2 linked regions of the Ovis aries genome follow. The protein of the gene in region 2 purifies or fractionates together with the protein of the main gene of each other region. This does not show direct contact. Links are inferred from orthologs where the notes say so. Each region holds a gene or a part of one and is shown on either strand. Other genes may lie near its edges.

The links.
Region 1: the proteins of ATXN2 (region 2) and LSM12 purify together in Homo sapiens (affinity purification with mass spectrometry; 4 studies listed by BioGRID and IntAct, with this or other methods). This does not show direct contact. The link is inferred for Ovis aries from reciprocal best matches to the Homo sapiens genes ATXN2 and LSM12.

What each region holds. Positions count from the first base shown.
Region 1 is NC_056064.1:43,642,292-43,647,249, reverse strand, and holds the start of LSM12 (protein LSM12), read left to right. Parts: upstream 1-1,795; 5' UTR 1,796-1,859; coding exon 1,860-1,983; intron 1,984-3,758; coding exon 3,759-3,892; intron 3,893-4,958. UniProt on the Homo sapiens protein: Nicotinic acid adenine dinucleotide phosphate (NAADP) binding protein. Confers NAADP sensitivity to the two pore channel complex (TPCs) by acting as TPC accessory protein necessary for NAADP-evoked Ca(2+) release.
Region 2 is NC_056070.1:55,207,776-55,211,576, reverse strand, and holds part of ATXN2 (ataxin-2), read left to right. Parts: intron 1-948; coding exon 949-1,094; intron 1,095-1,611; coding exon 1,612-1,839; intron 1,840-3,801. UniProt on the Homo sapiens protein: Involved in EGFR trafficking, acting as negative regulator of endocytic EGFR internalization at the plasma membrane.

The DNA of each region.
Region 1 (4,958 bases), on a different chromosome or scaffold from region 2:
GGAGGAGAAGGAGCACACACCTACGACAAAAATTAGAATAATCCTCTGGAGGAACACACACAGAAAACGGAAATCTCAGCTAGTCTAGGTGAGGTCTTACCTAGAGGCAGAGTTGAGGTGGGGAAGATTGTTGAAGTGGTTGCTTCCCTACCTCAAGCAACTTTATTCTTCATGAGTTCTTTGAGAGGTGAAAGTAAGGATATAAATCTGGGTTCTAATTGGAAAGAGATTAATTTCACTAATTAAAAACTTATGGGGAAGGGAATCTGGATTCATATTTCATTCCCTTGCTAAATGTTTTTCAATTGCCCCAAGGAAAAAATTCACATTTTCTAAGTCTTTTGAAAGTTTGCTTGTGCTCAAGCTAAGATAACCTTTATCAGTCCAGTCCCACACTCAGTTTAATGATATATTTCTAAGCTACTTTATGCTCCCCGGAATCACCAAGCTCTTTCCTTTTATGGGTCCTGGCATCTGCAGTTCCCTCTTGCTGGTACCTGGCCAATCTCCCTGCTTGTCCATCAGGTCTCAGATTTTTCACTTCTTCCGGAAAGCTTTTCCTAACAGTGCCTGGCTCTGTGCCTGAGAACCTATAATCACAATGTTACATGAAAAGTTGAGTGGCAGTTACATATGACTTGTTATGGGGGAGACATGAAACTTCTCTGAAATAAGCCCAAATATACTTATTTCTGTTACAATGATTGTAGTAATATGAAGTTGATGTCCCTTGCAAGGAATGAAAACACTTTTGAAATTTGTTCATGTTAAATAGTGCCAGGACTGGTCCTTTGCCATCTTCTCTGCCTGTTGTTACATGAGGCTCTAGAATTTCTATAGTGGAGGGTTAGTTGGGTTAGGGGTGGCGACTGTTGATATTAGGGTTGAAAATACACCTGCATCATACTTACATGTTAAGAAAACTGTTTTGTGTATTAGATAGTCGTTAATGGCGGGGGGCAAAACTCTTGCCCCAAGGCTTCCTTTGACACTACCACTGCTCCTCCTTCTGGCTCTGGAGAGGGCAAGAGGGGTGATGGGGAAGCATCTTGAGTTTCAACGGTAATGGGTGATCCTGGAGAAACTACCACGTAGTAACTACATGTCATGCATTTGTACACATTATTTCATTATCTTCCACTCCTCCTAACTTCTGTGTGAAGTGTTACCTAATACAGCATAAAAGTTAATAGCACCATTTTTGGATAACAGACTGAATCCTTGCTAGTTGTGCAACCCTGGCAAAGTTTTGTCTAAGACTTAGTTTGTTCATCTGTAAAATGAGGATATCAATTCCTACATCGAAGGGTTGTTGGATACTCAATAGATAGTACGGAAGGAATAAACAGAATCAGGCTTAGTAGTTTGCTCAAGGTCATGTAACTCAGTGGAATTCCGATTCTGGTTTAGCTAATTCTGTAGCCAGTGTCCTTTCCACTACCACTTTGTAATTAGGTGTAATCGTTTTGGGCAAGTTTGTTTAGTCTCCTGAACCTCGGATTCCTCATATGTAAAAGAGTTCATTCATTAAACTCGTGTCAAGGTGTGTACATAACGGAGACTGCAGTTCTCTCCTGTCTCCCCTTTTCATTCCACATAGGTCATTTACCTTTAACTTCTAAAATGGACCTTGCAAGCACTTTACTAAGCGGGCGCAGTTGCACAAACATAATTATTCAGATCCCTCTTTTATTTCCTCTCCTTTCCTCTTCCACCTAGGCTCCCGCCCCACCCAGTCCAGGCCACGCCCTGGCGTATGACGTCAGCACGCCCCGTGCGTCGCGGCGCGGCGCTCACTGGGGGCCCGGCTTTCGCCCGCTGCTGCCGCCGCCGCCGCCGGCCGCGGCTGCTCTCCCAAGATGGCGGCTCCTCCGGGCGAGTACTTCAGCGTTGGGAGCCAGGTGTCGTGCCGGACGTGCCAGGAGCAGCGGCTGCAGGGCGAGGTGGTAGCCTTCGACTACCAGTCCAAAATGCTGGCTTTAAGTATCCTTCCCTGCGTGGAGCCCGAGGCCGGGCCGGCGTGTATGTGCGGTGGTGGGGGGGCGGGGGACGACGGCGGTGGCTGGGGCCCTCTCCGGGCCTAGGGGCGACCGGCTACCGCGGCGTCCGGAGCGCATGCGCACGACCCTGAGCTCCCCTCCCCCTCTCCCTGGTCCCTTGGTCCGCCTTGGGGACCCTTGTCGCCCTCCCCTTGTGGGAGCTGGGCCGCGAACGAGGGTGGGTGGAGGGGGACTTGACACGCGGATGGCTTTTCGGGGGGAACGCTAGGAGAGGGCACCCAGTGATCAGGAGAGGGGTGGTCGTGGGAGAGGGCTGGTGATTGGAGCCCGGATGGAAGAGGGGCGGGTGGAATCAAGTAGGGAGGGGGTGTGTTGAGTAAGGAACTGCTAGTGAGTGGGACATGGGTATGGAGTTCAGGAGGGGTTGTCTACTGATAGGATGTGGTCCACGGAAGGGCGGTGGTGTTTGACCAAATGGGCCTCGCTTGTTTGGGGGAGAGTAATTGCAGGACAGAGTTTGTAGCAGAACTGGGTATAGGGGCTTGTTTTGCTGGTGCTTGTGTGTGCGTGGTGCCATTGGGGACGGGGTGCTGAATTGTAGGCTTCTCAGTCATTTGGAAGTTGCTCTTTTGGAGATGTTTGTCCTGGAAACCTGGTCCAGAGAGAGGACCACGTTTCTCAGGGGCTTGTGTATGGACGTGTGGGTTACAGGTGAAAGAGTAAGGTACCTTTTGCTCAGGCCAGCACATGGAATCCTGACTTCTCCACAGTAGTAGCCTTGCCTTTTAAATGTGGCAGTGTTAAACAGAATGGAAAAGGTGGCCTCTTTGGTGTGGAAATGATTTCTGAATTACTCCAGGAAGCTCAATCTTGGAAACAAAATACTTCCTGGTTGTAATACCACCTCCTCCTTATATTTGAGCCACAGGTGGACTTATTTGGATTTTTTTCTTTTTTTTAAGAGTTATCTTTTTGGCACCTTTCAAAAGGAAGTTTCTTACTGGGTCTGCTGCCTTTGACTGGCAAGTATTTTAACCAACTTCATTTAAACTTAACCACTTCATTTAAACACTAGTTGTAGATTTCTAGCTTAGGAAAATATCCTTTGAAACTAATTACAGCTCGAATAGTTGCGTTTTCTTGGTTTTGTTAAACACAAGAATTCGTACTTGGACTATATAAGATCTTTTGCATTAGTGGTTTAGTTGGAAGGGTTTTGGAATGAGGAATTACTCTTTCAATTGACATGCAGTATGCTTTTGAGAAATGGCTGGAGAATGAATGGATGGATGAGTGGGTTAACTAGCTGGGTCACCTTGAATGAGCTTCCTTTCCAGTGCTGTAGTTTTTGCCTCTGCAAAATGGAAAGTTTCAAATCAGAAAAAGTGAAAAGAGCTGTTCGGATATAGGAAGTATACCAAGAACAGAGGGTACTTGCTCTCCTGTGTGGTTCGTTAGGTTCAAGACAGACAGTATACATACAGCATTAAAACGACATTAAGCCTCTTCGTAAAACCAGTAGAGAGAAGGTGATGGAAACCCTGTTGAGGCTTCAAATTTTGAGTTGTGTTTGGCTTTGTAAAAGCTTGAGATCTAAAGATATGCTGAGAAGAGCTGTGATTCTTGTGGGACTCCCCCCTCTTGCTGGTGGCACACCTTTTACACAAGCCTTATGAGAACTGTGTTTCCCATGCCCCTTTGGGATGTGTCAGTGCTCTGCTTGCCCCTGTTTTCCTTAACTTTATTTTTTTTCACCAGAATGTCCCTCTTCCAGTGGAAAGCCCAACCACGCAGACATCTTGCTTATAAACTTACAGTATGTTTCAGAAGTGGAAATAATTAATGACCGAACAGAAACCCCTCCTCCCCTAGCTTCACTCAACGTTAGTAAGGTAAGGACTTGAGGGCAGTTCTGGGTCTCCAAAATGATGGGAAATTTGAGTCTCATTGACTCTTGATGGTACATATATTGTCCTTTTTTGTTTTTCTTTTTTTTCAGTGATTTACAATTGGCTTGTTTTGACATATTTAAATAAATATATATATATCTCACTGTAGTTTTTATCTCTTTGTTCCCTGATATCTTCCGAAGATTTTAAGAAATGTCTTGATGCCTGCTGATAGAGAAATAGAGTTGAGAGCTGGCTTTTGTTCTTTGTGAAAGAGAGCTCCCCCCTCACCCTTAACCTGTAGTCCATGTGTGAACTTCCAGTGTTGGTGGGGTTGGCTATGGACTTTCCTTCTGAACCTCTTGAAATTGTGTATGTGTGCGCACAAGAATATACATGTATTTCCTGGATGAAGATCTGGAGTATTTTTCAGATTCTCAGAGGGATTCATGACCTACAAAAATTTGAAAACTACTGCCGTAGAGCTTCATTTTTGTCTTTATGCTTGAATTTTGAAGTCTAACAAATTTAGAGGCTTAGGATATTTTAATCTCGGCTATATAAATTGGTCTCTGGGAACTTTCAGATAACTTTTCTGATTCTTCATTTCCATCAGCTGAAGTTCATGTTGATCAATATTGTACCCAAGCCCTGTTTGAGTTTTGCTGTTCTCTCTACTTGGAACACCTTCTCAGAATGACTAGAACCGTATCCATCAGAACTGTTTAATGGCACCTCTTTCAAGAAGTCTTCTCTGATCACCCAGGCTAAAGTGGTTGCCTCCATTATTTTCTCTTACAGTACTCTAGCCTTCAGAGATAAGGTGATGTATCATTTCCAGTCCAGTATGGGACATTTTTGAGAGTAGAAGAGGGCAGTGCTTTTGTTTTACACTGAGACAAGTTTAGATTGATGTATCCTGGGCAAATTGGGACTTGTCACCTATTCAAAGCCTTTTTGTGATTATAATTGTGTATACTTTTCTATCTCACCAAACTTTGTTTTGTGGGAATGGTAACTATACCTGTTTTGTTCCTCACTGAATATACAGAACCTTGCACAGAGTAGG
Region 2 (3,801 bases):
GTCCTCAACTCATAGCCACATCATGGTTAGATTTGTATCAGGGTGCTATATTAGTAGTCACTGGAAGCAGTGAACCCATCTTGTGCTTTTGATTCTCGGATTGCTGTATTGGGATGACATGAACAAATATCTGATCTCCCTGTTTTGTGCCAACGTATGGTCAGTGCTGACACAAAGAATTGGCTTTGCATTCTTACCTTTAATGAACACATTTTTACTTAAACTAAACCATCATATTTTCTTTGAAGTTACCCTAACTAGTAAAAATTTTTTCTAAAGGCTGTGATGCATAGAAGGGAGTTTGGTTTTCCTAAATACATAGTTTAGGTAACCCTAAACTATAAAACAAAGGTGAGAGATCTTGAGTGGGGAGGCCCAAGGAACAAAGTGAGGAGCAAAGTGGCTTCTGTAATCAGCTGAGAGAGATTGTGGTCATTTGGCCCTGAAGATAGAGCCCTGACCTTGCCACACACCTTATCCAGCCCCTTACTGAAGCCTTGATACCATCTGGGCCCATAGGACACTGCGCCAGCTCCAGGGCAGTAGCATGGTGAGGTTAGCCAGATGATGGCCTTGAGCTGCTGTGTGTGTGTCTGTGTGTGTGTGTGTGTGTGAGATAGAGAGAGATTGAATTATTTCTGTCTGTGCTTTTAAGTTGCTTTTTCAGGAAAACCTAGTGACTGTTACAAAAGTAAATTTAAACTGATTAGATTTTGATACAGTATGTATGTTATTTGAATAAAATGCTAGTCTGGTTGGTAAGCAGTAACTTGACTTTTTTTTTTTTTTTCCAAGAAGTGGATGGATTAAATGGAGTCAAATATAGAGATGGGTTAGGCATTGAGCATCAAGAAAGCTGTTGATGAGCTGAAAGTTGATGAGGCATAGAAGAGCAATGAAGACCACCACACACGTCAATTATACACACTCCTTTTTATTTCACTTTAGTTTCCACTGGCTCCCTTGCTCAGCAGTATGCGCACCCTAATGCTACCCTGCACCCACATACTCCACATCCTCAGCCTTCAGCTACGCCCACCGGACAGCAGCAAAGCCAACATGGTGGGAGCCATCCCGCACCCAGTCCTGTTCAGGTAGGACACTCGGGGGGGCCTTCACCAGAACTGCTGCATCCTTCTGCTTACTGAGTGTTTCTCCCAATGCCGTGCGAGATGCTAGGCACCACGTGACCAAAACACCTAGCAGCCCTGCCTCACCTAGGAGCCAGCGTATAGCTCTGCAGGCTGTGCCCCCAGGTTTAATCACCTTAAGGTACATACTGAGAATAAGGTGGTTGGGTAAGTTCTGAAAACTTTACCAATATAGAAAAATTTAACATAAAGTAAGGAATTTCGCTTGGAACTTTTTAAAACTCTCATTTCTAATGTTTATGTGATACGATTTTGTTTGTTTGTTTTCCTATTAGTTTCTTTAGCCATGCTTTTTAAGAAGGCACTTAAGGAGCTCTGGCATCTGGAGCTGTTTGCTCCAGTTCCCTGGAGCAGTATTCTTGGTTCCCACTGTTTGGTTAAGGGCTTGCAGTCTGACAATCAGGCTTGTATCCCAGAAAAGAATGTCTCTTAATCTGTACTCTTTGCTGTCACTTTGCAGCACCATCAGCACCAGGCCGCCCAGGCTCTCCATCTGGCCAGTCCACAGCAGCAGTCTGCCATTTACCACGCGGGGCTTGCGCCAACCCCACCTTCCATGACACCTGCCTCCAATACACAGTCTCCACAGAATAGTTTCCCAGCAGCACAGCAGACCGTCTTTACCATTCATCCTTCTCATGTTCAGCCGGCTTACACCAATCCACCCCACATGGCCCATGTACCTCAGGTAAACCTGCTTTAGCCAACTTTTTGTGAAGACCAACTAGGATATGAAAGTTATCAGATAAGCAGCAAAGAGCCAGATGCTCTTCAAGCTAGGAACCCCTGTGTGTGATGCCATCTGCTTGTCTCTTCTTTCCCACTCAAATACATGTGATCTGGCCTTAAATGAATGTTTGTGTGGTTTTGTAATGGAATCAGTGAAGTTGCTGATTGGTCAGTCTTTTGACATTTCCCAGCTGAGGCCTTAAAAATACCTTTGACTCTGGAATGCAACCTAGTTCTTTCCTTACTGTGTCTGCATTGCTCTGTTTCTGTTTATATAGCTTTCTCGTTGCTATATATACACGTATATGTACACATATTCCCCCCACACCCCTTACACACACACACAGGTCTGGCAAAGAAGATGGGATTTCACAAATTCTCAACTCTGAGATGACTGCCCTGGGACTGTCCACTTGAATGTTAAGTCACCTGAGTTCCTAAGAAATCTCTCCATTTGTTTCCCTGGCAATTCCTAAATCTGCTTTGACCATACGTTGTACTTCTTGAAAGGGCTTGGCCTTGTACATTGGTGCTGTGTGATTTGAAGCTGGAAGCGCCCAGGTGTTCCTATTTTTCTTAAAGAGCAGATCTGGAAGCACTTGGGGCTCACCTCTAGCGTAAGTTTCTAAAGGTTGAAAGGTGTGTTTGCTGCTGACTAAAGTCCAGTGCGATCCAGGGCCAATTTGAATTGTCTTAATGAGGAGAAGGAGCTGCACTGAAGTTGGACTTTTAACACTGTCCTTTGAGGCCCTCCCTGGGGCTGTTAAGGGTGGATCGGCTGTATTTGATGTCTCTTTTTGCTGCTTTCATAACAGAACTCTCTTAGGCAGGTCTCAGCTTAAACTGCCTCACTGAATTCCGTTTCATGTCAAGCAGTGCACCCCTGAGGCTCTGGCGTGGTGGGGCTGGAGATGCTGCTCAGTTGGAACTAACTCTCAGAAGGCGACCTTATAACTAGAGTTCCACAGCTCTGGGAAGTCTGGGCATCCTCCCCAGCAAACGGGCAGGTTCTGTAGTGTGGCGCACTGCAGTGGATGAGTTGCTTTTGATGGTGGGGAGGGGAGCTGGTTTGGTCAAGTGTGGGACAGCATGGTTTGGCTGAATCAGGAGCTTCATGAGACCTGGGGGCCGGTAGATGTCTAGCAGAGGCTGGTAGCTACGTAGTTATGTGAATTTATATGTAAGTTGGGGTTCCTAAAACCTCACTTTTGTGTTTTTGTGCTGAAAGAACAAAAAGGTTAACATCTGCAGGGAAGTCCAGATGTGCCCTGGGTCTACTTGAACGTGTTAGAGTCAAAACAGGGTTTCCTTCAAGGCTTATCATGGTCCAGAACAGTGCATAGTATTGCAGGAGGAATTGAGGACTCGTCCTCCTCGCTCTGCAAATCCTTGCAGAGCTGGGGTCCAGCTCTTTGGGCTACACCCTTTCCAACTTGACAGGGAGACGTGGTTGAACTCACTATCACTTGATACAGGGACACTGGGTTGGCCCAGATGATTTCAGAATACCCCTCCCCACCTCACTGGAGCCATTCACTGCAACTCCTCCTGCTGCTGCCTTATCGGCGGATCTTTCAGCAGCGCAAAGGGGCCTGAGAGTCTTTCTCACTGCCTTGACTCATTCTTCACTGAGGTGTGCCGATGAGCAGGGGAGGAGCAAAGAGAATATAGAACAGGAGTTAACAGTTCCCACTTATAATGTAATAATCTGCTTTATCTGAAAGGGATGATTCAGGCCCCACATAGTAGCCAGAGTCTAGAAGCATCATTGCATGTAGCCTCCTATTAGTTTGAGAAAGCTGTACTTGGATCAGGGATCGTCTTACCTTTGTGAAGACCTTGCCCCATACATAGAATCCAGTCATCAGAAATGCTGACGCCTAGGACATGGCAGCCCTGACTTTTACCAAGGCTTGTTGGT